Macaca mulatta: one gene and its partners. The protein of the gene in region 1 purifies or fractionates together with the protein of each later gene. This does not show direct contact. Links are inferred from orthologs where the notes say so. Each region holds a gene or a part of one and is shown on either strand. Other genes may lie near its edges. The genes, in order: CYLD, RIPK1, SPATA2, SPATA2L and MAP3K7.

Region 1 (4,280 bases):
TTAAAAGGTAGATTTTGTTATGTATATGTTACCACAATTAAAAAAGGTTTTTAAAATGAATGAAATCCTGTGAGATATTCTAATTGTCTATTCCTCAAAATCAATGTGGTTTTCCTCTACTCAGATATTTTCTATAAATGATTTTTATACTAATTATTAAAATATACTAATTATTAAAATGGTAATATAATAGTAATATACTATATTAGTATATAATAATAGTAATAATGTACTAATTATTAAAATAGTAAATATACTAATTATTAAAACCAGATCAGCCATTAAATTGTGTGGAATATCATAAAAAAACATAGATTACCCCAAAAAACTTTTTCAAAATAAAGAAAAATAGGACGTCATGTAATATATGTGCATTTTGTTTTGTTTTGTTTTGTCTACTGGTCAGCTACAATAAGGCAAATTTAAAGATTGAGAACATTACTCCAGTTTATTCAAATGGGAAAAAAAAAAACTAAATGTAATTCTACATCTAGACCCCTGTTCTATTTCAATGCTCCTTTAGCAAAGATAAATTAGAACATGCTCTTTAAAGTATTCCAAATTAGATCATGTTAAATATTCAAAGTGTTCAATTTGCAAGTAAATTGGTCCTAAAACTAATACATATATATATAAACTATACATATATAATATATATGTGTATATATGTTTATGTATATATACAAATATATACAAACTAATACATATATCACAAAGATATTTAATCCAAAAGTTTCTTACCATGTCCACACCAACAAAATATCCTAAGCTTTCTTTTCCTGGCAAAACATCACAGAATATAACTGTTCCAGATTCTATTGTTTCTCCAACCTTCAAAGAAACTCTGGAGTTTATTTCCAAAGGAGGAAGCTCGACCTGCATTGTGTCCACAGGACCTGCATAATCACTTTCCAACGCAGTGTCATCATCTTCTATGAGTTCTAGCTTGTCCAATGCAACAAACACGCCACAGTCTTCATCACACTGAAAAAGCTGTTTCCCTTGGTACACCCCGTCAGTGAAACCTTGGCCACGACCTTCTTCCTAGTTTTTAAGAGAGAGGGGAAAGAAATAGATATAGAAAGACTACTCATAGGGAAGGGGGTTCATTCTAGGGATTTCAGGAAAATCACTCTGGAAAAATTCTAAATGACACATATAATAAATAATATAATTATTAGCAGTCGCTGTTGGATTTAAGGTGTTTAAAAAAATAAGAAAGAAGTTGTATCTGATGCTGAAATATTATCTGATAATTTCAATTCATAACTCTATTATGAAAAAGCTAGGCTGAATTCCACGTTGTGATTCTAACATTAATTTGGTTATGAAAAGAAAATGTTACTTTAAAATAGCAGTAATGTTAGCTCCATTCATTAAGCACTTACTGCCAGCCACTGTGCTAAATCCTGTATCAATGTACCACAAAAATACTACAAGTCATGTACTATTAACACCACTGTACTGGTAAGCACGCAGAATGAGAGAAGTTAAGTAGCTTTGTTAAGTAACCTGGCAACCCAGCTAGTACATGGCTTAACTGGGATTCAAATTCCTAATTGTTTACAATCACTGCTTTAAAAAAAAATTAAATCAAGAAGCAAAGAAGACATGCAATTCTACTGGCAATGTCAAAATGTAACTGGCATTTCAGTTACTGTGAATGAATATTAAGTTTGGAAACATATCACAGCATTCTTGGGTCTCCTTCCAGTAGAAATAAATTCCAAGGATGTTCACATATATTATCAGGGACAATCACAAGCAAGTTTAAATTTCTGCAACTTTTTTTCAAAAATTTTATATCTAAATTGTTATTACTTAATAACATACATTAAGAAGAACTAAGAAACCTACAGATGATAATGCAAGGTAATCAACAACTTTTGATGTAACTATTTACAACTGGTAGTGTTAATGCTTAATATAGGCAATGTTAAAATTTCTAAAATATAAATGCCTGCAATAACCAGGTGAACCTCTTTGTATGTTCCTATCATAGCACATAGCTTTTTAAAACTTTCAACATCATCTTTACAGCATCGCAATTCATCATTAAAAAGTAAACAAAAAAATTAAATCAAGAAGCAAAGAAGGCATGCAATTCTATTTGCAAGAATGGCAAAATATAATTGACATTTAAGTTCTTGAGAAAGAATATTAAGCTTAGAAACATATCACAGAGTTCTTGGGTCTCTTTCCAACAGAAATAAACTCCAAGGTGATTTTCACACATATTATCAGTGATAACTATAAGCAAGTTTTGGATTATGGATTTATCCATAACATGGATTCATCAGCAAGGATGATGAATATTAAAAATTACAGAAGACTCTTGGGAAAATATTTTTGTATTTAAAGGAGAAAAATACGTATGTGCATACAAATACACATAGACACACAAACACAAACACACTACTAAAATGGTTTATCAAACTTACCAGCAATTCAACTCCAAAGAATATTCCAGAGACTGTCCTCTCTGCTAACAGTGGTCCTCTGAAGCGCACAACTCCAGGAAATTTTTCTTCCCCAGATCTCAACTGTACTTTCACAGGGCAGCCCACGTCTATTTGGAGGCCTTTACTTAGTCTGTTTCTGTTTTTAAACAGGCTGAACCTCTCCTCACAATTGGTAATTGCCAAAAGTAACTCTGTGAACTTTTCATTTATCTCTGCAACATCCTTTTCATCAACAAAGAGAACTGCATGAGGTTGCTCTAGAATTTTTAATCCAATCTGATTTTTCTTGCCTTTTGCAGAAGGAATCCTTGAATGCCCCACAGAACGATCTTGAATATACTGTCCTATACTTCCCTTCGGTACTTTAAGGAGCTTTTGTGTTTGTTTGTCTGTAACGCTGCATTCTTGAAGAAGCAAATAAAAAATCCGCTCTTCCCAGTAGGGCGAAGTAACTTTTTCTTGGCTCCATAAGCCTGAACTCATTGTGATATTAACTTCAAAATACTAATTCAAAAAAAGGAAACTACTAATAACTTTGTCATAAAACCGCAAAAAATAAATTCAGTGGCAGTCCCAAAGCATGTTTTCAGCAACGTGGTGTCCATGCTGTAAAAAGAAAGGAAATCTAAATGCCTGCTGAAGAAGCAGAAATAAACTTTAGACTTCATTCTACACGACTGAAAATTAAGACTGAAGACTTTTAAAATTTTCATTTGACCGGTAAACACATATACATAAATGAAATATTTTCAAAAAAACATCTAAAAGAGTTAAAGACATACAGTATATTACTTCTATCTACTGCAAATGTGCATATTTAATTAATGAAATCCAATTGTAAGGTACTTTCAAACACAACACAATAATGTTTGCTTCCAAGACAATGAAATTTATAAAATCAGATTCTAGTAAAAACTTTTAAAGGTTACCCTTATATACATATTCTAATTTTTAAAAAATTTATTTTTATTTATTTATTTATTTTGAGACAGGATCTCACTTTTGTGGCCCATGCTGGACTGCAGTGGCACAATCATGGTTCACTGTGGCCTCGACCTCCCAGGTTCAAGTGATCCTCCTACCTCAGCCTCCCGAGTAGCTGGTATTATAGGCACGTATCACCACACCCAGCTAAGTTTTCTATTTTTTGTAGAGACAGGGTCTCACTATGTTGCCTAAGCTGGTCTTGAACTCCTGGGCTCAAGTAATCCTCCTGTCTTGGCCTCCCACTGCGCTGGGATTACAGTCGTAAGCCACCAGGCCTGGCCCATGTTCTGACACTAATAAACTTTTAAAAGTAGCATTTGGGGCTGGGCTCTGTGGCTCATGCCTATAAATGATAGCTATGATATGGCCATATTTTGATAATGGAACATTTTACCTCTGACTAAACTTCATTTCATATATTTTGTCTGAAGATGGGCAATGTTCATCACATTAATCATAATTATCATCTAATTTCTCAAATCGCAAATATCAGATATTATAATGTGACTATATTACAAATATTTTAAAAATCAATTTTGTAGCATCAAAACTTGTACCACAGAGCAAGAGAATATCATGATATAATTGCATTCTAATTTATTTCTATGATTTCTTTTTCAAATTTTCATTTATTTTATTTATTTATTTATTGAGACAGCATCTTGCTCTGTCACTCAGGCTTGAGTACAGTGGTGTGATGATAGCTCACTGCAGCTTCAAACTCCTGGGCTCAAGTGATCCTCCCGCCTTGGCCTTCCAACGTTCTAGGATTACAGGCATGAGCAACTGCACCTGGTCCTCATTTAAAATTTTTACAAGACTAATAATCTT
Region 2 (4,931 bases), on another chromosome or scaffold:
AGGTTTCACCACGTTGGCCAGGCTGGTCTAGAACTCCTGACATCGTGATCTGCCCACCTTGGCCTCCCAGAATGCTGGGATTACAGGCGTGAACCACCTACCCAACCTTAATAAGGGTGTTAATTAAAAAAACAAGCTAGGCACCTAGGGTATAAAATTGAAGGAGGCTCTGATTCTCAGGGCCACGCAAATGCAGGGCTGGCACCTATGAGTGTGGCCCTCCTGAAATGTTGTGCCTTAGGCACCTGGCTCTCCCTAATTCAGGCCCTCAGGAGAAAGCCCTAATTCTGGTCAGTTCGCAACAGGAGGACACGGCTTCTGGGAGACACTCGGTGCTCCAGAGAGAGGCATTTGGTCCGTTCTCTTCCTCTGGACGTCACCGTGCCGACATGAAATGCTTCCAATTGCGTCCAGCCTAGGATGGAGCGGGGTGGGGGGGATATCTGGTGACATTACGAACTGCTGCATCAACTCCCCCGAGTCCCTGCCTCTGGACCCCCGAGAGAGGACACAAGGAGTGTCCGGAGCCCATGTGACTCAGTGTCTCTTCCCATCACTTCGCGGGAAAATGGGGCTGCTTACACCGCACCGCAGCCCAAGCACCTGTGGCTGGAGAGGGGCTCGGGCGCCAGGAGTGAGGAGCCTGGTTCTGGGCCCGGGACCGGTACTAGTTAGTGGTGGGACCTGGAACAAATGGTACTAGTTAGTGGTGGGACCTGGAACAAATGGTACTAGGTAGTGGTGGGACCTGGAACAAATGGTACTAGTTAGTGGTGGGACCTGGAACTAATGCTTTGCTTCTAAGTGAATCCCTCATATTCATGACAAGAGGCGTGGAACACAGACCCATGGGGCCTTCCCACTGGAACATGGAGCTTGGCTGTCACCCGACTTCGCTTCCTGAGGTAGAAAAGCCCAGGGTTCCAGGCTCTGTCTCCTTTCCCGCAGACCCCTTGTTTCTTGGCGCGGAGGCCCTGGGCCCCGCAGGCTCCCACCCACTTCTCTGGGCTCAGAACTTCTCTGGGTTCAGAACCCGATCCCGAAGCGGCCATGGTGCTGCCGGTGGCCGAGGCCGGGCGCGCGCCTTGGGAACCTGGCTGGCCTCAGGCTGGCGGGAGCATTCGCGGACCTCGCCCTGGGCCGGGAGGACTGGGGGACCCTGGCCTGCCCCTTCCCCTAGCCCTGACCTCGGCCACCACGCGCTGGTCCCGCCAGGCTCCGCCTGAAGGCAGAAAGCGGGGCGGGGGGGGGGGGGCGCCCGATCCTGCGGTATAAAAGCGGTGTCCGCAAAGGCCCTAGTGGGAGTCCGCGGCGAGCGCAGCAGCAGGGCCGGGTCCTGCGCCTCCGGGATCGGCGTCCAGGCTCGGAGCGCGGCACGGAAACGGCGGCGGCGCTGGACCAGGCGGTAGGTGCGGGCGTCCCCGCGCAGGGCGCTGCGGGTGGCGAGGCTGGGTGCGCGCCTCGGGAACCTGGCTGACCTCAGACCGGCGGGAACATTCGCGGACTTCGCCCTGGGCGGGGCGAACTGGGGGGACCCTGACCTTCCCATGTTCCTAGCCCTGCCCTCCGCCACCGCGCGAACGCGCGCGCCTCCCAGGATAGTCCCGGCAGGCGCAGCCCCAGTCAGGCGGCTTGTCAAGTATGGGAGGAGCCTAACAATCCCAGACAGTTTAAAAGGCGGTGCCCGCCAAGGCCCGAGCGGGAGTCCGCGGCGACAGCAGCAGCAGCAGCAGCAGCAGAGTCACGTCTTGGGCCCTGGGGATCGGCGTCCAGGCTCGGAGCGCGGCACGGAGACGAGGTGGCAGGTGAGGGCGTCCCCGCGCTGGGCCGGGGTCGGGAACGGGAATGGCGAGCTTCAGGTCCCCCGGCTGCCACCGAAAGATGAGACCTGAGGACAGGAGAGGTCGCTCATCCAAGAGCCCCGGGGAAGCGGTGGTGTCTCGGCGGGTCAGGAACGGTCTCTGGGGGGTCCCCTGCAGCGCGCAGCCGGTTTCCGCCTCCGCAGCTCCCCGCCAGCGCGGACGCCGCCCTCCCCCACGCCTCCTCGCTGCCCTTCTCTGGCCGAAGCTCTCCCCTGCAGCCCCTCCCCACCTGCCAGCCCTGTTTTCTCACTGCTCCTCTCTGCTCTGGGATCCGCAGGATGACGTCTGTCCCGGTACTTCTCTTTCAAAGTCACCAGTCTCCAGTTCCAAATCCGAGCACTCTTACCCATCCTAATTCTTTCAATAATTCAGCGAAACGGATGGGGCCCGTCCTTCCCCGGAGCATATTTCCAGGGACTGTGAATCCGCGAAGCCAGGCTCAGCCGTCGCCTGCAGGGCCTGCGGTCTGTGGGGACCGCCAGCAAGATGAGGAGTCACCTTCGGGACGAACGGTCGTGCTGGGGAGGGTTGCGCCGGCGGGGTCAAGGGAACCTCCTTTAGGGTGGGAATCAAGCCTCCAGGCCGCGGTGTTTGAGGGTGAGTAGAATTAATCCCGTGATGGACATGGGGCCTTGTAAGGGGGACCAGGAGTTTGTGAAGAGGTGACTTTGGGAGGGGTTCAGGATGGCCAGAGGTGGAGGCTGTGACCTGAGCGAGGCTGGATCAAGGGAGGGGGCAGGTGGAGAAGAAACCGTTTTAACAAGGTGGCTTTGAGCGGATCCTAAGGGTTCTGGGAGATTTAGGAGGAAGGCCAAGAGGATTAAGACACCGCTTTCTGAGGATGTTGTGTGGCTGTGGCATGGTGGTGGCTGAGGGAAGCGGGTTGTCTTCATTGTCCAAGGCTCTCCAGTGCTTTGCGTGGCGTTTTGGGGAGCACACATGAGGTGTCCCGACAGTGAGGAGTGGCTCTAAGGTGAGCAGAGGCTCGGGAGGGGGCCTGCGCATTAGGCCAGGCACAGGATCCGAAGTGGAAAGAAATGTGGGCGAAATGTGGGCGTAGAGGGCAGGCCTTGGGGATGGGTGTGGGGGACGAGGGGGATGGAAAGGGGTCAGGGAGGTCTCCCAGGCTCACCTGGAGGAGTGAGGGTCTCATTTCCAAGGGCACTGGGAACTGCAGCCTGGGGGTGGGGGTTCATTTGGTTTCAGACCTGTGGCGAAGAGACCCACCCCCTCACATTCACACTTTGGCTTCCACTAGCTTCAGAGGTAGTACTAGCTCTTTGTTCTCGCTGGTTTTCCTTCCTCACCTTGGGCTGTTTCTTGCCTTTTCCATTCTGGTGTTCTGCAAGGACCAGTTCCTTCGTCTCATGTACCATCTACACTCATGGCTTTTGCTGGGAGTAATGAGTAAAGCTCCCAAATAGATGTTTCTGAGTTAGAGCACTGAAAACAAAATGAAGCAAAAACAATGCATTTCCAATCTTCCAAGATCACATGATGTCCAGAGGACAGTGATGGGCAATGACTTTTTGTCTTCCCCATTAGAATGCAAGTTCCACAAATGGAACACGGAGATTTTTATTTATTTATCCTTTTTTTTTTTTGAGACGGAGTCTTGCTCTGTCACCCAGGCTGGAGTGCAGTGGTGCAATCTTGGCTCACAGCAACCTCCACCTTCTGGGTTCAAGCAATTCTCCCACCTCAGCCTCCTGAGTAGGTGGGTCTACAGGTGTGCGCCACCACGCCCAGCTAATTTTTGTATTTTTAGCTTCATCATGTTTGCCAGGCTGGTCCGTAACCCCTGAGCTCAGGCAATCCACCCGACTGAGCCTCCCGAAGTGCTAGGATTACAGGTGGGAGCCACTCCACACAGCCAGAACAGAGATTTTTTATGTTTAATTCACAACCGAGGCTTCACTGCCTAGAACAGATGCTCAGTAAATATTTATTGAAGGAATGAATTCCTTTTTGTATCTCTTGTATCTATCACCAGATACTCTTGTATCTAGTACCTATTTGGCATACAGTAGAAAGCTTTGTTGAGTGAATAGCTCTGCCTTTCGTCTTTTTTGGTATGTATACATCTTTTAAAAAATAATGAATAGACTTTTAGAGCTGTTTTAGTTTACAGCAAAACAAAGCAGAAAGAAAATATCCCCTCCCACAAACATCCTGGACTGTATAGCCTCCCCTACCATCAACATCCTGCATTAGTGTGGGGTATTTGTTACACCTGATGAACCAACATAGATACACGGTTATAAAAATGAACCAATATGGATAAAACATATACATTATCAGTCAAAGTCCAGAGCTTGTTAGGTTTTGCTCTTTGTGTATATTCAAGATACATTTGACAAATGTATAATGAGATGTACCCAACACTGTAATATCAGATTCCACTGCCCTAAAAATCCCTTGTGCTCCACCTACCTATCCCTCCTTCCCTGCAAATCCCTGGCAACCACTAATCTTTTTTACTATCTCCACAGTTTTTCCTTTTCCAGAATGTCACATAGTTGGAATCATACATTATGTAGTCTTCTCAGATTGGCTTCTTTCACTTAGATTTATACATTTAAGATTGCTCCAGAATTTTTTTTTTTGTGGCTTCAGAGCTCATTTCTTTTGAGCCTTAATATTCCATTGTATAGATGTGCCACAGCTTATCTGTCCACCTATTAAATGACATCTTAGATGCCCTGAAGTTTTGGCAATTATGAATAAAGCTGCTATAGACATTCTTGTACAGGTGTTTGGGCGTAAGCTTTCAACTCATTTGGGTAGATATCAAGGTGTGGAGTTGCTTCATCTTATGGTAAGAAGAGCTTGGTTAAGAAATTGCCAAAATGGGCCAGGCGCAGTGGCTCACGCCTGTAATCCCACCACTTTGGGAGGCTGAGGCAGGTGGATCACGAGGTCAGGAGATCGAGACCATCCTGGCCAACACGGTGAAATCCCGTCTCTACTAAAAATGCAAAAAAAAAATTTAGCCAGGCGTGGTGGCGGGCGCCTGTAGTCCCAGCTACTTGGGAGGCTGAGGCAGGAGAATGGCATGAACCCGAGAGG
Region 3 (4,959 bases), on another chromosome or scaffold:
CGATCCTGGCTAACATGGTGAAACCCCGTCTCTACTGAAAATACAAAAAATCAGCCAGGCGTTGTGGCGGGCCCTTGTAGTCCCAGCTACTCGGGAGGCTGAGGCAGGAGAATGGTGTGAACCCGAGAGGCGGAGCTTGGAGCTTGCAGTGAGCTGAGATCGTGCCATTGCACTTCAGCCTGGGTGACAGAACGAGACTCCATCTTTAAAAAAAAAAAAAAAAAAGATGAGAAATGTGACTTTCTTTGGAGACTTTGGGTCTTTTCTGATAGTAGATGTCACCAAGTTTCGATGACCAGGGTTTCCTACTGGTAAAGCCCTTCTTCAAAATCTTTGTTTCTCTTTTGGCTGTCACAGACCCACAGAGCTGGAGGGGACTTTTTTTTTTTTTAGCAGTCCCACGTGAAAATGCAATATTGTAAGAGCTACCAAACCAGAGTGTTGAGTTGTTGTAAAGGCAGACTTAAGGTGGGACAGTTTGTCTCAGATGAAATTCCTGTGAACATTATCACGTTGCAGATAATGAAGAGAGGAGCTTAAACATGAGCTGATAAAGAACACAGGGACCTTGAGCGGTGCTCAGGCAATTACAGGTAAACACAGTAATGCTACTGTTTGGACAGCAGATTGCTGGTTCTCCAAACGTTTCCCAGTATTAAAGTCACTGATTCATCACACAAGGCCCACCGGTTTTAGCTGGGGTCACCGAGACTCAGAGTGAGAATCCTACAATCAATGAACATCTATTGTGTGCCTCCTCATCAGACATGTGCGGAGCTTGGGGGGAAACAGATGAATAAGAAGCTCAGGGTCTGGTGGGGATGTCAGATTTTATATATATATTTTATATTTATATATATTTTATATATATATAATTTATCTGAAAGTGTTGGGATTATAGGCGTGAGCCGCCGTGCCCGGCTTTTTTTTTTTTTTTTTTTTTTTTTTTTAAGAGACATGGCCTTGCTATGTTGCCCAGGTTGGTCTCGAACACCTTGGATCAAGCGATCCTCCCGCCTCAGCCTCACGAGTAGCTGGGACTACAGTCGCGTGCCACCACGCCTGGCTTTATTAATTTTACAGGTTATAAAGCTGAGACTCAGAGAGGTTAGGTAACTTGTCCAAGGTCACACAGCTAGTAAGTGGCAAAGCTAAAAATGGGACCCACGCTCTTAACCGTCGCCCACAGCCCGTAACACCGACAGCCCTAGCAAGGCTGGATTCCAATCACGCGTGATTTCAGCGTCTCACTGGCTCTCTTTGAGCCTCAGTATTTCTGTTCGTACAATGGGGGCGAGGGATCCGACCGTTAGCCCCTGCTTGCTTGTGCGGAGTCATGAATGCAGCTCCAGGCTCCGTAGCGGTTTCCATGACAACCCGGCCAGCCACCATCCCTAAACCGAGTGGCTTCCGTCACGTCCGGCCTGTTTACTTCCGGGTCCTAGCTCCAGACGCGACGATGGCTCGTTAGGCTCCAAACTGCCGTTCCGCCGCTTTCGTCCTCGTTCTTCGGCCTTCCGCTTTGTTCTCGGCCTCTGGCTTGTAGTCTCCGTCGGCCGCGGGCATCGACCGCTTCCCGGAGCCAGCGCGCAGCCGTGGTCCACCCTCTCTTCGGACCCGCCTCCTGGCGACTTCACTTCCGGGCCGAGTGTTTCCGGGTCGCTGCTGGCCCGCGGGTACTGGTCTCAGTACCCCTGCAGCCGGCCGGAGCGGCTAGAGCCCAGTGGGGCCCGGCTCCGGCGGCAGCCGCGCCTCCCGCTTGCTTCCCTCGGCCGGGCAGCCCTCGGCGGCAGTGTCAGGGTGAGTGACGGGCGGCCGCGAGCGGAAACTGTGTCCGGGGCTTCCCCAGGTGGAGGGGGCGCCAGACAGCGGCAGGGCTCTGCTGGCCCGTGAGCGGGGTCCCCTCACGTCAGGCAGGACTACAGGTGGGCCCGTTGTTTCGGCGCTCCCGGGACCCCCAGCCTATCCTCAGGATCCCCATTCTCCTGGGAGCTGCCTTGTAAGCTCCTGGAACCCACCGAGGGTGGCTCAGGGCCGCTCAAGAGGAGCACCCTCTCTTCGGCGACTGGCCAAACAGAAGGACACCCCGATTTCGCCACGAGGCGGTTACTGCGCAGGGGTTCCCAGTTCAGACTCTCTGGCGGCACACCTGGGTTTGTACTCACTGTGTGACCTTGGATAAGTCACTTCATCTTAAGAGCCTCAGTTGCCTGTTTAAGTGTGATTGAACCTGGTTGCTAGGGCTGGAGTAGAGATGGAATGAGATCATGCAGGGCCCCTGGCATACAGCAGGCGTCCAGTAAGTGATAGTTCCTGTTACTTCATTCAATTCACGAACCCGTGGGGAGGGCCAGAATTTGAGACTGGGCTGTTTTTCACAACTGACGTGGCCCCCCGAGGCTGTAGGAATGACCGAGCTGGGACTTAGCAGCCGCCAGCTTCTGTCCCTTGCAGGGAGGGAAACAGCTTCCTTCAGAGGCAGCTGCCACTAGGGAAGCTTCTTTCGGCACCGCTGAGGTTATTTTCAGAGGTTTGGAAGGACTCTGTGTGAATTTCTTTGGAATCTAGTAGGAGTGTGGGGACCTTCTGGTGTTTCACAGCCCGTGGAAGGTGCCTTGGATGTGTCTCGGAGCCTCTTGCTTGGAACGAGTGCATTGGTGTGGGTGGGGAGGTGGAGGGGGTTGAACTGACTTCCTCGTCTGCTGTTTGGAGGCTGATGGAGCTAGACCAGGGATGTGTAAACCTGTGGACAGGGGCAGTGCACAGACCAAAATAGCTCTGCCTGTGCAGAGAGGGGGCGCCTTCAAATACTGCTTGGGGAACATTTCTGCTTGAATGGGCCAGCTGAGGTAAAGCCAAGCGAATGCTTTGTTACTCGGAATCACTTCACTTCCATGCAGTGGGAGTCTAAACAGATACAGCTTTCCTCTTAGATGTTTAGAAAATAACTAAATAAGCCACTGCCTCCCTGACTGCAATATCTCTCTTTCCATTGACTTGCTTTTCAAGAGGGTGCCTAGATTGTGGGTTCAGGAGGTGCTGACTGGAGCTGTTGACTCTGGGCACCTGCCTGCCTCTATGTTCAGGATATTCACAGTGCTGTTTTTTTGTCTTTTGGGTTTTTTTTTTTTTCTCCCACCAGACTGGCACGGCTTGGCGTTCCAATCCTTGGGTTGCTTGGAGAAATTAACAGCTTCTGTCGTTGGGCTGTCTCGGTCTCCTGTAACCACGATGTTTTTGCAGAGAGCGTATTTTGTTGTTCTTGCAGAGTGCTGGGAATGAATTGCTGGCTCTGTGCTCAGAAAAAACACCAGCTATGACCAGCTACAAGGCATCTTGTATTCTCAGAAAATGTTTTCAGCAGGGATGATGTCAGCTGCTTCATCACTGGCCGATGTCTCCGGCCAGCCTCTTTCCTCGGCCCTTGAGCTTACATCATATAGAGATTAGCTCTCCTAGCCCCATTCGGTGTGGGAAGATGGGAATTTTGCTACTACAGGAATTTTTGTAACTCAACTCTGCTCGCGCCGCCATAAGGCATTCTAACTTAGCCAGACACTTTCGAGTAGAGCTGTCCAGCAGATGCAGCAGGATGGCTTTGCAAGAGTCAGAGTTTTGGCATTAGACCTAGGTTCAGAGCTCAGAGCCACTTCTTCCTAGCCTTATGACTTAGGGTAAGTGAGTTGGCCTCTCCGAGCCTCAGTTTCCTCTTTAACCTTGGATCTATCCTATGGATTTCATTGTTTTTCATAGAGCAGTTAGCAGAGAGCTGCCACACAGTAATCCCTTGGTAAATGGTACTGATGTAACAATAAATGAGTGAGATAAATTGGAGAAAGCCCCAGGCATCAGGGCCTGCCAACAAGAGTTCAGATTCCAGCTCTGATCCTTTCAAACTCTGTTGGACAGGTTGTTTTAATGGGAGAGCCTGTTTTCCTTATAGAGTTGTGAGGATTAAATGGGATGATGTAGGTAAAGTGGGAAGCCCAATACTTAGCACATAGTAGGACCTCAGTAATTGTTAGTCTCTTTCTTTCCTTTCCTTACTGACTGATTGAGACAGAATCTTGCTCTGTCACCCAGGCTGGAGTGCAGTGGTGCCATCATAGCTCACTGCAGCCTCAAACTCCTGGGCTCAGTGGATCCCCCCACCTCAGACTCCCAAGTAGCTAAGACTATAGGTGCATGTCACCACACCCACCTAATAATAATAATAATAATTATTATTATTATTATTTTTGTAGAGATGGAGTCTATGTTGTCCAGGCATGTCTTGCCCTTAATTATCTTTTAGCTTTTACTTTCTTCCGCCTTTTCCCTCACCTACCCAGGTTGTTTGGAGATTTGTTTTAGATATTTTGGACTTCCTGTCCTTGTTGTTCAGATTTTGAACATCAGCTGGGCTGTTTGGATCCCTTTGCTTTATTTATTGTTTTTCAGCAACAAACAAGGGTGTGGACTGTGGTGCGATTATAGAGCAGCATACGCTGAGCCGAGCTTGCGACTGGCTGACTTTGTAAAAAATCAGTCTCTTTGAGTTCAAGGCTGACTTCCTTGGAAAAAAATTACAGCAGTATTCAGAAACTTAATGTCTCTGTGTTTGAATGGTTCTCAGGCTACCAGAAAACAAGCCCTGGGGCCAGAGGCGTGATTGCAGCTTCTCTAAGTCAAGAATGGTAAATGCATGTGTGACTATCCTCTCCAGTGTTGCAAAATACATTTCTTTATGTAGAGATGGAGTTTTTGCTCTGTTGTCCAGGCTGGAGTGCAATGGCACGATCTCAGGTCACTTCAGCCTCTCCTCCCGTGTTCATGCCATTCTCCTGCCTCAGCTTCCTCAGTAGCTGGGATTACAGGCGTTCGCCACCACGCCCAGCTAATTTTTGTATTTTTAGTAGAGATGGGGTTTTGCTATGTTGCCTAGGCTGGTCTCAAAATCCCGACTTCAGGCGATCCACC
Region 4 (5,018 bases), about 39 Mb from region 1:
GGGAGAGACAACGAGTGCCAAGCAAAGGGGAGAACCCCTCATAAAACCATCAGATCTCGTTCCTTTCACTATCACGAGAACAGCATGGAGGAAGCTGCCCCCATGATTTAATTATCTCCACCTGGTCCTGCCCGTGACTTGTGGGATTACAATTCAAGATGAGATTTTGGGTGTGGACACAGCCAAACCTTATCAGAGGCTAAGTATCTCAACACAAGGCCGGGGTGTGACGTGTTTATGATCTAGCCTTGGAATTCACTCCAGCTCTATTCCATGGGTTGAGGCAGGTGCAAAAACCGGCCCAGGCCCATGGGAGGAGAGCTAGGCCCACTGCTGATGGATGGGCTGGTGCCACCAAATTCAGGGAGGACGAAGGCAGAGCAGTTACCTCCACCCTCCTCCGCATCAGAAGAAGAATAAAATAAAGGAGTTGAGGCTTACGAAGTTAGCTGCCCCGAGAACTGGTGTGGACTCATGGTGGCACTGGACACCAAGGCTGGGTTCAGTAAACTGTAAGTAAAAGAACTCCCTGTCCAGAGGTGGCCACCTACATAGGGAGATCCACCGACTCCATTACAATTTTTTTTTTTTTTTTTGCAGACAGAGTCTCCTGTCGCCCAGGCTGGAGTGTAGTGGCGCAATCTTGGCTCACTACAACCACAACCTCCGCCTCCCAGGTTCAAGTAATTCTCCTGCCTCAGCCTCCCAAGTAGCTGGGATAACAGACATGAGCCACCACGCCTGGCTAATTTTTTTATTTTTAATAGAGACGGGGTTTCACCATGTTAGCCAGGCTGGTCTCGAACTCCCGACCTCAGATGATCTGCCTGCCTCGGCCTCTCAAAGTGCTGGGATTACAGGCATGAGCCACCGCTCCACGATCACAATATTTCTAAGATGCCAGCAGGGAACTAACTGCCAAATAAAAATTCTAAGAAAAATCGGGGACCTCGCCGCCCAGGCCCAGAGAAAGTTTCAACAAACTTGGGCCTTGGTTTTGGTGGCCTGGAGAGGTGAGGGACACAGACGTGAAGGAGCAGAGCCTGTCCAAAGCGGGGGTGTGGGGTGGGGGTGTCTCGGCTGGGACCTCCAAGGGTCTCCCTCATCCTCCTCTACTTCTGGGCAATGCGAGAAAGTGCCTTTAGCACAGAACAGAGGAACCCGAGCGAAGAAAACGTCCCCGGGAAGCCGTGGCCCAGATTTAGCCTGGATGGATCCGGGGCCCAGGTCAGCTTTTAGCTTAGAGAGGGGGCGGCTTCGCCCTGCCTCAGAGACCCGCCCAGACGATGCTCTCAAGGGCGGCAGATGGCAAGTGCAGGAGGAGGCCGGGAAGCGGAGCCAGCAGAAATAGAATCTGAGGTCCCCGCACCCACCTGAGGCTGCTGTTTCAGACGAGGCTGAAAGGCTTGTCCTTGCGCCCACCTTCCTCGCCGCGGGCCCCTCCCGCAAGGGGATGGCCCCGCCCGACAGGGGAGGCCCGCCCCCGGGTCCGGCCAATCCCCGCCAGGTAGTGCAGGTGGCCCCGCCCCACAGGACGGCTCTTCCCAGGATCCAGCCAATCCCCGTCAGGTAATGCCTGCGGCCCCGCCCCACAGGGGACGAGCCCGCGCACCTGCTTCCTCGCGGCCGAGGCGCCCGGGGCTGGGTCCCCGTCTCGTGGGGAGGAGCGGCCCAGGCACAACGTTCACTGAGCGCCTGCCATGAGCCCGCAGCCCTCGACCCAGGGGCGTCGTGAACGATATCGGTCCCGTAAGGGGACGGGCGACGCGGTGACAGGAGGCTCTCGGGGTGCCTCGCGCAGGTGCTCGGCCGGGCGGGACGCCGCCTCCTCCCTTGCTTCCACCAGGCCCCGCCCAGGCGCACAGGCCCCGCCCTCCTAAATTAGCCAGAGGCGGGGCCTGTGCCAAGCCCCGCCCCTAGCGTCACGGCCGCGGACCCCGGGCGGAGCCGGCTCCCGGCGGAAGCGCGCGGCGCGCGGGGAGGCCCGAACTGAGCGGCGGCGGCTGGAGAGCGCTGGGGACAGACAGGTAGCGCCGTCGCCCGCGGGGTCCGCAGCTCTGTCTGCCGGGCGAAGGGACTCTGGTCGGGAGAGGGCTCAACGGGCGGAAGCGCGTGTCTAGAGAAGGGTGCGGTCGATAACCGGGGGCGCCCCTGGAAGGCCGAGGTACCCAGGCTGGAGGGAGGGGCTGGAGGTGCGGGGGCGCCCGGCTGGAGGGACCTGGATCGCTGGGTGGGCGGACAGCTGATGGGGCCGAGGTCTCCAGGGTAGGGGGTGCCGAAGGTACCGGGGGCGCCCAGCCGGTGGGGGGGGGTCTCCAGGCTCGAGGGGTCCTGGGGACGCTGGGTGGGGGCCCGGGGAGAGAGCGGCTGGCGGGGCGCGGCCGTAGGTCCCTGACCCCCGCCCCCCGCAGGATGGGCAGCAGCTCGCTGTCCGAGGACTACCGCCTGTGCCTGGAGCGCGAGCTGCGACGGGGCCGCGCGGGCGTGTGCGGGGACCCCTCGCTGCGCGCGGTGCTCTGGCAGATCCTGGTGGAGGACTTCGACCTGCACGGGGCGCTGCAGGACGACGCGCTGGCGCTGCTCACCGACGGGCTGTGGGGCCGCGCCGACCTGGCGCCCGCGCTGCGCGGCCTGGCCCGCGCCTTCGAGCTGCTGGAACTCGCCGCGGTGCACCTGTACCTGCTGCCCTGGAGGAAGGAGTTCACCACCATCAAGGTAGGCGGAGGTCAGGAGGAGCGCGCCCCTCGTCCTGGCCTGCGGGTCGCGGGGCCGTCGACTGTGGGGGACCACGCCTTTCGGGGGAGAGGTATCCTCAGTGCCCGGTGGGCTTCTCAAGGCTCCGAGCGCTGAGGGGTCGTGGGCGTGTGGGGGCACCCACTCCTAGGGCTGAGATCATGGGGTGGGCGAGGGCAGGCTGGGTGCTGCCTACGGGGTCCTGCCCTGAGAGCTTGCGTCAGTGTCTTCCCTAAGAGGCCTCGCGGCTCCAGTTGCCATGGAAATATTAGGACAGGGGCACAGAAGGGATTTGAGGTCTCGTGGTCATCCTAGTTCCTCTAGGATATGGGCCAATCCCATTTGCAGAGGAGGACAGCAGATGGGTGCATCCCTGTGAAGTCTCAGGGCTGGCACAGACCTAGTGAACTCCTCGGCCTGGGGCCGGAGGCTGTGCCCAGGGCTGGAGGCTGTGCCCTATGGCTGGCCTGGCCCCTCTAGGTGAGCTCCTGGCGGCAGGAGGGGGCAGGGCCGCCGGGAGCTCTGAGCTAATTCGGAAGAGTAGGAAGCCGATGACGTTACTGCGCACGTGGGCGAGCTACGCCTCCGCCGGTTGCCATGGCAGCGGCCGTCTCTCCGCGGCTCCCCGGGGACACCTGCTGGTCGGAGGGGCCAGGACTCTCATTCATGAGAGAGACGGACAGGCCCGCCCTTGAGGCCTCCCAGCGGGGCAGGGCAGGGGAATAACCGGCTTCAGTGCTGGGCAGCCCTGGTTTGGACCTAGTCCTGCTGCCTCCTGGCCTCGAGGCCTTGGCCAAGTTAGCTAATCTCAGCCCCTTTCCTCCCCTGAGACAGGGACACAAGAACAGTCCAGTTCATGGGGCCAGAGGAATGAATCGAAGCCCCGAGCTGAGTGCTGCAGGCCCTGGGTGTTCCACACATGGGCCGTGTCATGCCATTAGATGCTGGGAGTGCCTGAGTTAGGGAATTTTAGTCAGGAGACGCTCGCAGTGATTGTCCTGAGGTTCCTTTAGTTCTTCACTTAACTGTAGGCTAGAAAGCACTCACCCTTGGCCGGGCGCGGTGGCTCACGCCTGTAATCCCAGCACTTTGGGAGGCCGAGGTGGGCGGATCATGAGGCCAGGGGTTCGAGACCAGCCTAACCAACATGGTGAAACCCCATCTCTATTAAAAAATACAAAAATTAGCCGGGCGCGGTGGCTCACGCCTGTAATCCCAGCACTTTGGGAGGCTGAGACAGGCGGATCACGAGGTCAGGAGATCGAGACCATCCTGGCTAATACGGTGAAACCCCGTCTCTACTAAAAATATAAAAAGAAATTAGCCAGGCGTGGTGGCGGGCGCCTGTAGTCCCAGCTACACGGGAGGCTGAGGCAGGAGAATGGCATGAACCCGGAAGCCAGAGCTCGCAGTGAGCTGAGATCCGGCCACTGCACTCCAGCCTGGGCAACAGAGCGAGACTCCGTCTCCAAAAAAAAAAAAAAAAAAACAAAAATTAGCCGGGTGTGGTGGTGGCGCCTGTAACCCCAGCTACTCAGGAGGCTGAGGCAGGAGAATCACTTGAACCTGGGAGGTGGAGGTTGCAGTGAGCCGAGATTGTGCCATTGCACTCTAGCCTGGTGACAGAGCGAGACTTCGTCTCAAAGAAGAAAAAAAAAGCACTCACCCTTCTGCTATCCCATGGCTGTCAGCCCAGTGCACAGACAGCCTCTGTAGGGCTCTGAAAACAGATGCTACACCCCCGTGGTGGAATACTACACAGCAGGGGAAATGAATGCTACAGCTTCCGTCCTGATCTTCTAGAATATAATGGAAAAGAACAAAGTTCAGAACAACACGTTTAAGAGGCTACCTGTCTAGCTTTGGTTAGAAACCTTACAAAGAAAAGAGGTGAAAAAAAACGGGGGTGGGCTACCTCATAAGAGGGGCAAACAAAATCTGTATGGGCAAATACATTCAAAACTAGATTAGGCCATCTCCACGGGTGAAGGGAGTGGTGGGAACCCAGAACAGTGGAATTTCTCAGTAAGCTCTTTAGTTTGTTCTGATTCGTGAGCCAGGTTAATGTATTAGTTGTTTTTTCCATTAAATTTTAAGAAATTCGGCCGGGCGTGGTGGCTCACACCTGTAATTCCAGCACTTGGGAGGCCAAGGCAGGGGGGCGGGGGGGATCATGAGGTTAAGAGATTAAGACCTTCCTGGTCAACATGGTGAAACCTCGTCTCTACTAAATATACAAAAATTAGCGGGGCGTGGTGGCGTGCACCTGTAATCCCAGCTACTCG
Region 5 (3,253 bases), on another chromosome or scaffold:
AACATTTTTGTAGATACACTTTTTCCAAGTGTATGTTTAGGATTGGATTACTTATTAAAAGACTGTATTTCATAACTGAGTGTTTTTCTAAGGTGTTATAGAAACTGCCTTCCTCCCTTTTTAAAGAAATCCAGTCTAATTTCCTTACTACTACATTCACAGTTCTTAAATATGTATGTATCTTCAGTTTTCTTAAGCATGACCTTCAGGAAGTTTTATACTTAGGAAACTAAATTATTAGTGGTAACTAAAATGAAGTGTTAAGGAAAAAATTTTGGCAACTTTATATATGTATGATAATAGGATTCCCTTCATTAATTTTAATCTAAATAAAAGTTTTTTTTCCTAAATTTGTGAAAAGCTTTCTGTATGTGCTTCAAAAACAAAGAGAGAATAGATTGTTTTATCACAATTTATTGATACAGTGATTTAAATGGAACCAACCTAGTATTTGAAAGGTAAGCCTAAATAGGAAATTAAATACTACAGTCTGGAAATCGTAGAAGTAATTATGGAACTGCTGGCACTTTATGTTGAAAAAGCTCGATTTCTTATTTCACGTATTTAACCTATACTTTTGCCATACTTTAATCATTTGAAAGAAGAATTCTATGCTGGGAAAAAACAAATGGTAGAGTAGGCTGTTGGCTGTGAAAACTGTGACAGTTTTAATTAATTTTAAATACTTTCAGAAATAGTATTAGGTAATTATTTTGCTTAAGGACCTTTTATTATTCATTTATATCCAGTAGCCTCACTTTAGGAAATGCCTAAAGATGCATCTTTTTTGGGAATACTTAATAGTTCCCGAATAAAAGGGACTTAAATAAGTTTATCAGACTATAAAAGAATGAGGGTCTTTCCTGAAAATGCTTGCAAATGTAAGTATTTTAAAAGAAGTGGTACTTTGTAATTTTTCTCACTGCTTTAAAATGGGAAAAAGCTTTAAATTCGATAGCATTTATTTTAATTAGCTTGCAAATTTTCTGTTAGCTTACCACTCTCTACTATAGTTAAGTAGGATTGTGACTTCAGAATGCGAATGAGTATAAAAGTAGAATGTGAATGATAAAAACTTCATGATATTTTCCCATAGCCAGATAGAATCTTTCCCAGCCTTTTTTCATCCTTCCTATACAAAAAGAGGATAGAAAATGAAATTTTCTGAAACTTTTATTTTACCATTTTATCTGCTTCACTATTTATCCAAGTACAGTTACTTAATAAAAGGATTATGATATTTATATGATTACACTAGAAATAGATGAGAGTTCTACCCCAGTCCATAATTATGCTTGAGCAGTGTACCTAAGATGCAAAATGATAAACCCAGAATAAAAATTCTCATTAATTGAGCTTCCATCATCAGCCAGTAAGGTATGAATTTTTCCATCATGTGTAATATTATGTGGTATTTGTTTGTAGGCAAGAACTAGTTGCAGAACTGGACCAGGATGAAAAGGACCAGCAAAATACATCTCGCCTGGTACAGGAACATAAAAAGCTTTTAGATGAAAACAAAAGCCTTTCTACTTACTACCAGCAATGCAAAAAACAACTAGAGGTCATCAGAAGTCAGCAGCAGAAACGACAAGGCACTTCATGATTCTCTGGGACCGTTACATTTTGAAATATGCAAAGAAAGACTTTTTTTAAGGAAAGGAAAACCTTAAAATGACAATTCATGAGTGTTAGCTTTTTGGCGTGTTCTGAATGCCAACTGCCTATATTTGCTGCATTTGTTTCATTGTTTATTTTCCTCTTCTCATGGTGGACATACAATTTTACTGTTTCATTGCATAACATGGTAGCATCTGTGACTTGAATGAGCAGCACTTTGCAACTTCAAAACAGATGCGGTGAACTGTGGCTGTATATGCATGCTCATTGTGTGAAGGCTAGCCTAACAGAACAGAACAGGAGGTATCAAACTAGCTGCTATGTGCAAACATCGTCCATTTTTTCATATTAGAGGTGGAACCTCAAGAATGACTTTATTCTTGTATCTCATCTCAAAATACTAATAATTTTTTTCCCAAAAGATGGTATATACCAAGTTAAAGACAGGGTATTATAAATTTAGAGTGATTGGTGGTATATTATGGAAATACAGAATCTTTGGGGATAGTTCAGTGTAAGGGCTTTGATGCCAGCATCCTTGGATCAGTACTGAACTCAGTTCCATCCGTAAAATATGTAAAGGTAAGTGGCAGCTGCTCTATTTAATGAAAGCAGTTTTACCGGATTTTGTTAGACTAAGATTTGATTGTGATACATTGAACAAAATGGAACTCATTTTTTTTTAAGGAGTAAAGATTTTTAATTCTGTGATTGTGTGTATGTGTGTTGAAACTGTAAAGCTTTTATGACTAATATTAATCTCTTAAATGAAATTAAAAGGCAAAAGAACATGATTGAGCTTAAATGATCATTTCTTCCTGCAATGATTCTTGGATTGTTTTCTCATGTATTTGAAACAAAAAATGAAGAAAAATAATGGAAAATGGAAATTATTGCTCCAGCTAAAAAAGGCTTGGGCTTAAATTTCTTTTTATGATACCAAATGAGGAATAAACCAGGCAAATCAGAAGGAAGTTAAAAAAGTAAATATAAATTCAACAAGTATCCTAACTATCCTGGATATTGAAATATTTGATTTTCCTTACAATCCCATAGAATGCCTGCGGCCTTTCTACACTTTTAAAATAATTTCAACACTTACAGAGTATTTATATTGTTACCAGTAATTTTGCTACCAAAACCTTCAGAATAACTTTAATAATAATATGACATTGAAATAATAGACTATGCAAACTATATTTTTTCAGTTGGTGTTAAAATAAGTCACATTTTGATACCAATACAAGGTGTCTTTCAAACAAGGATGTCATCAATCTGATTTTTATAGCATTAATGTTTTAGGAAGAAAAAGTTCAAAATGAAGGCATTAATTGCTGTGATTATTAGAATTCTGTCATGACCGTATTGCAGTTTTTGCTCTATTTCAGATAAGCAAGATCTAAGAAGTTATCAAAACTATTCTTTAAAATGCTAAAGCAGGTAACTTTTTCTTCCATTATTTTTTCCTCCTACCACTGAGTTTTATAATGAATTCCTTGTGTATACAAGCAATACAGGTGAAGGACAGTTTGTACTAAACTGTTATTTTTAGCTTCTTCAAAAGCTATTTTAGAAAGCTTCCCGGAAATAAATGTCTTCTATCATTTAATTTAAATAAAAGGAGTGTTATTGT

The links.
Region 2: the proteins of CYLD (region 1) and RIPK1 purify together in Homo sapiens (affinity purification with western blotting; 5 studies listed by BioGRID). This does not show direct contact. The link is inferred for Macaca mulatta from reciprocal best matches to the Homo sapiens genes CYLD and RIPK1.
Region 3: the proteins of CYLD (region 1) and SPATA2 purify together in Homo sapiens (affinity purification with western blotting; 10 studies listed by BioGRID and IntAct, with this or other methods). This does not show direct contact. The link is inferred for Macaca mulatta from reciprocal best matches to the Homo sapiens genes CYLD and SPATA2.
Region 4: the proteins of CYLD (region 1) and SPATA2L purify together in Homo sapiens (affinity purification with mass spectrometry; 3 studies listed by BioGRID and IntAct, with this or other methods). This does not show direct contact. The link is inferred for Macaca mulatta from reciprocal best matches to the Homo sapiens genes CYLD and SPATA2L.
Region 5: the proteins of CYLD (region 1) and MAP3K7 purify together in Homo sapiens (affinity purification with western blotting; 4 studies listed by BioGRID, with this or other methods). This does not show direct contact. The link is inferred for Macaca mulatta from reciprocal best matches to the Homo sapiens genes CYLD and MAP3K7.

Annotation. Positions count from the first base shown.
Region 1 is NC_133425.1:46,201,669-46,205,948, reverse strand, and holds part of CYLD (ubiquitin carboxyl-terminal hydrolase CYLD), read right to left. Parts: intron 3,099-4,280; exon of another isoform or gene 3,096-3,098; 5' UTR 2,946-3,095; coding exon 2,442-2,945; intron 1,045-2,441; coding exon 742-1,044; intron 1-741. UniProt on the Homo sapiens protein: Deubiquitinase that specifically cleaves 'Lys-63'- and linear 'Met-1'-linked polyubiquitin chains and is involved in NF-kappa-B activation and TNF-alpha-induced necroptosis.
Region 2 is NC_133409.1:180,192,154-180,197,084, reverse strand, and holds the start of RIPK1 (receptor-interacting serine/threonine-protein kinase 1), read left to right. Parts: upstream 1-1,547; coding exon 1,548-1,805; exon of another isoform or gene 1,806-1,888; intron 1,889-2,005; exon of another isoform or gene 2,006-2,139; coding exon 2,140-2,155; exon of another isoform or gene 2,156-2,328; intron 2,329-2,535; exon of another isoform or gene 2,536-4,931. Other genes in the region: uncharacterized protein LOC144340588, read right to left, coding at 1,010-1,549. UniProt on the Homo sapiens protein: Serine-threonine kinase which is a key regulator of TNF-mediated apoptosis, necroptosis and inflammatory pathways.
Region 3 is NC_133415.1:102,751,724-102,756,682, reverse strand, and holds the start of SPATA2 (spermatogenesis-associated protein 2), read left to right. Parts: upstream 1-1,771; 5' UTR 1,772-1,800; intron 1,801-4,959.
Region 4 is NC_133425.1:85,142,644-85,147,661, reverse strand, and holds the start of SPATA2L (spermatogenesis-associated protein 2-like protein), read left to right. Parts: upstream 1-1,964; 5' UTR 1,965-2,027; exon of another isoform or gene 2,028-2,164; intron 2,165-2,411; 5' UTR 2,412-2,412; coding exon 2,413-2,715; intron 2,716-5,018.
Region 5 is NC_133409.1:95,449,968-95,453,220, forward strand, and holds the end of MAP3K7 (mitogen-activated protein kinase kinase kinase 7), read left to right. Parts: intron 1-1,425; coding exon 1,426-1,606; 3' UTR 1,607-2,494; downstream 2,495-3,253. UniProt on the Homo sapiens protein: Serine/threonine kinase which acts as an essential component of the MAP kinase signal transduction pathway. Plays an important role in the cascades of cellular responses evoked by changes in the environment.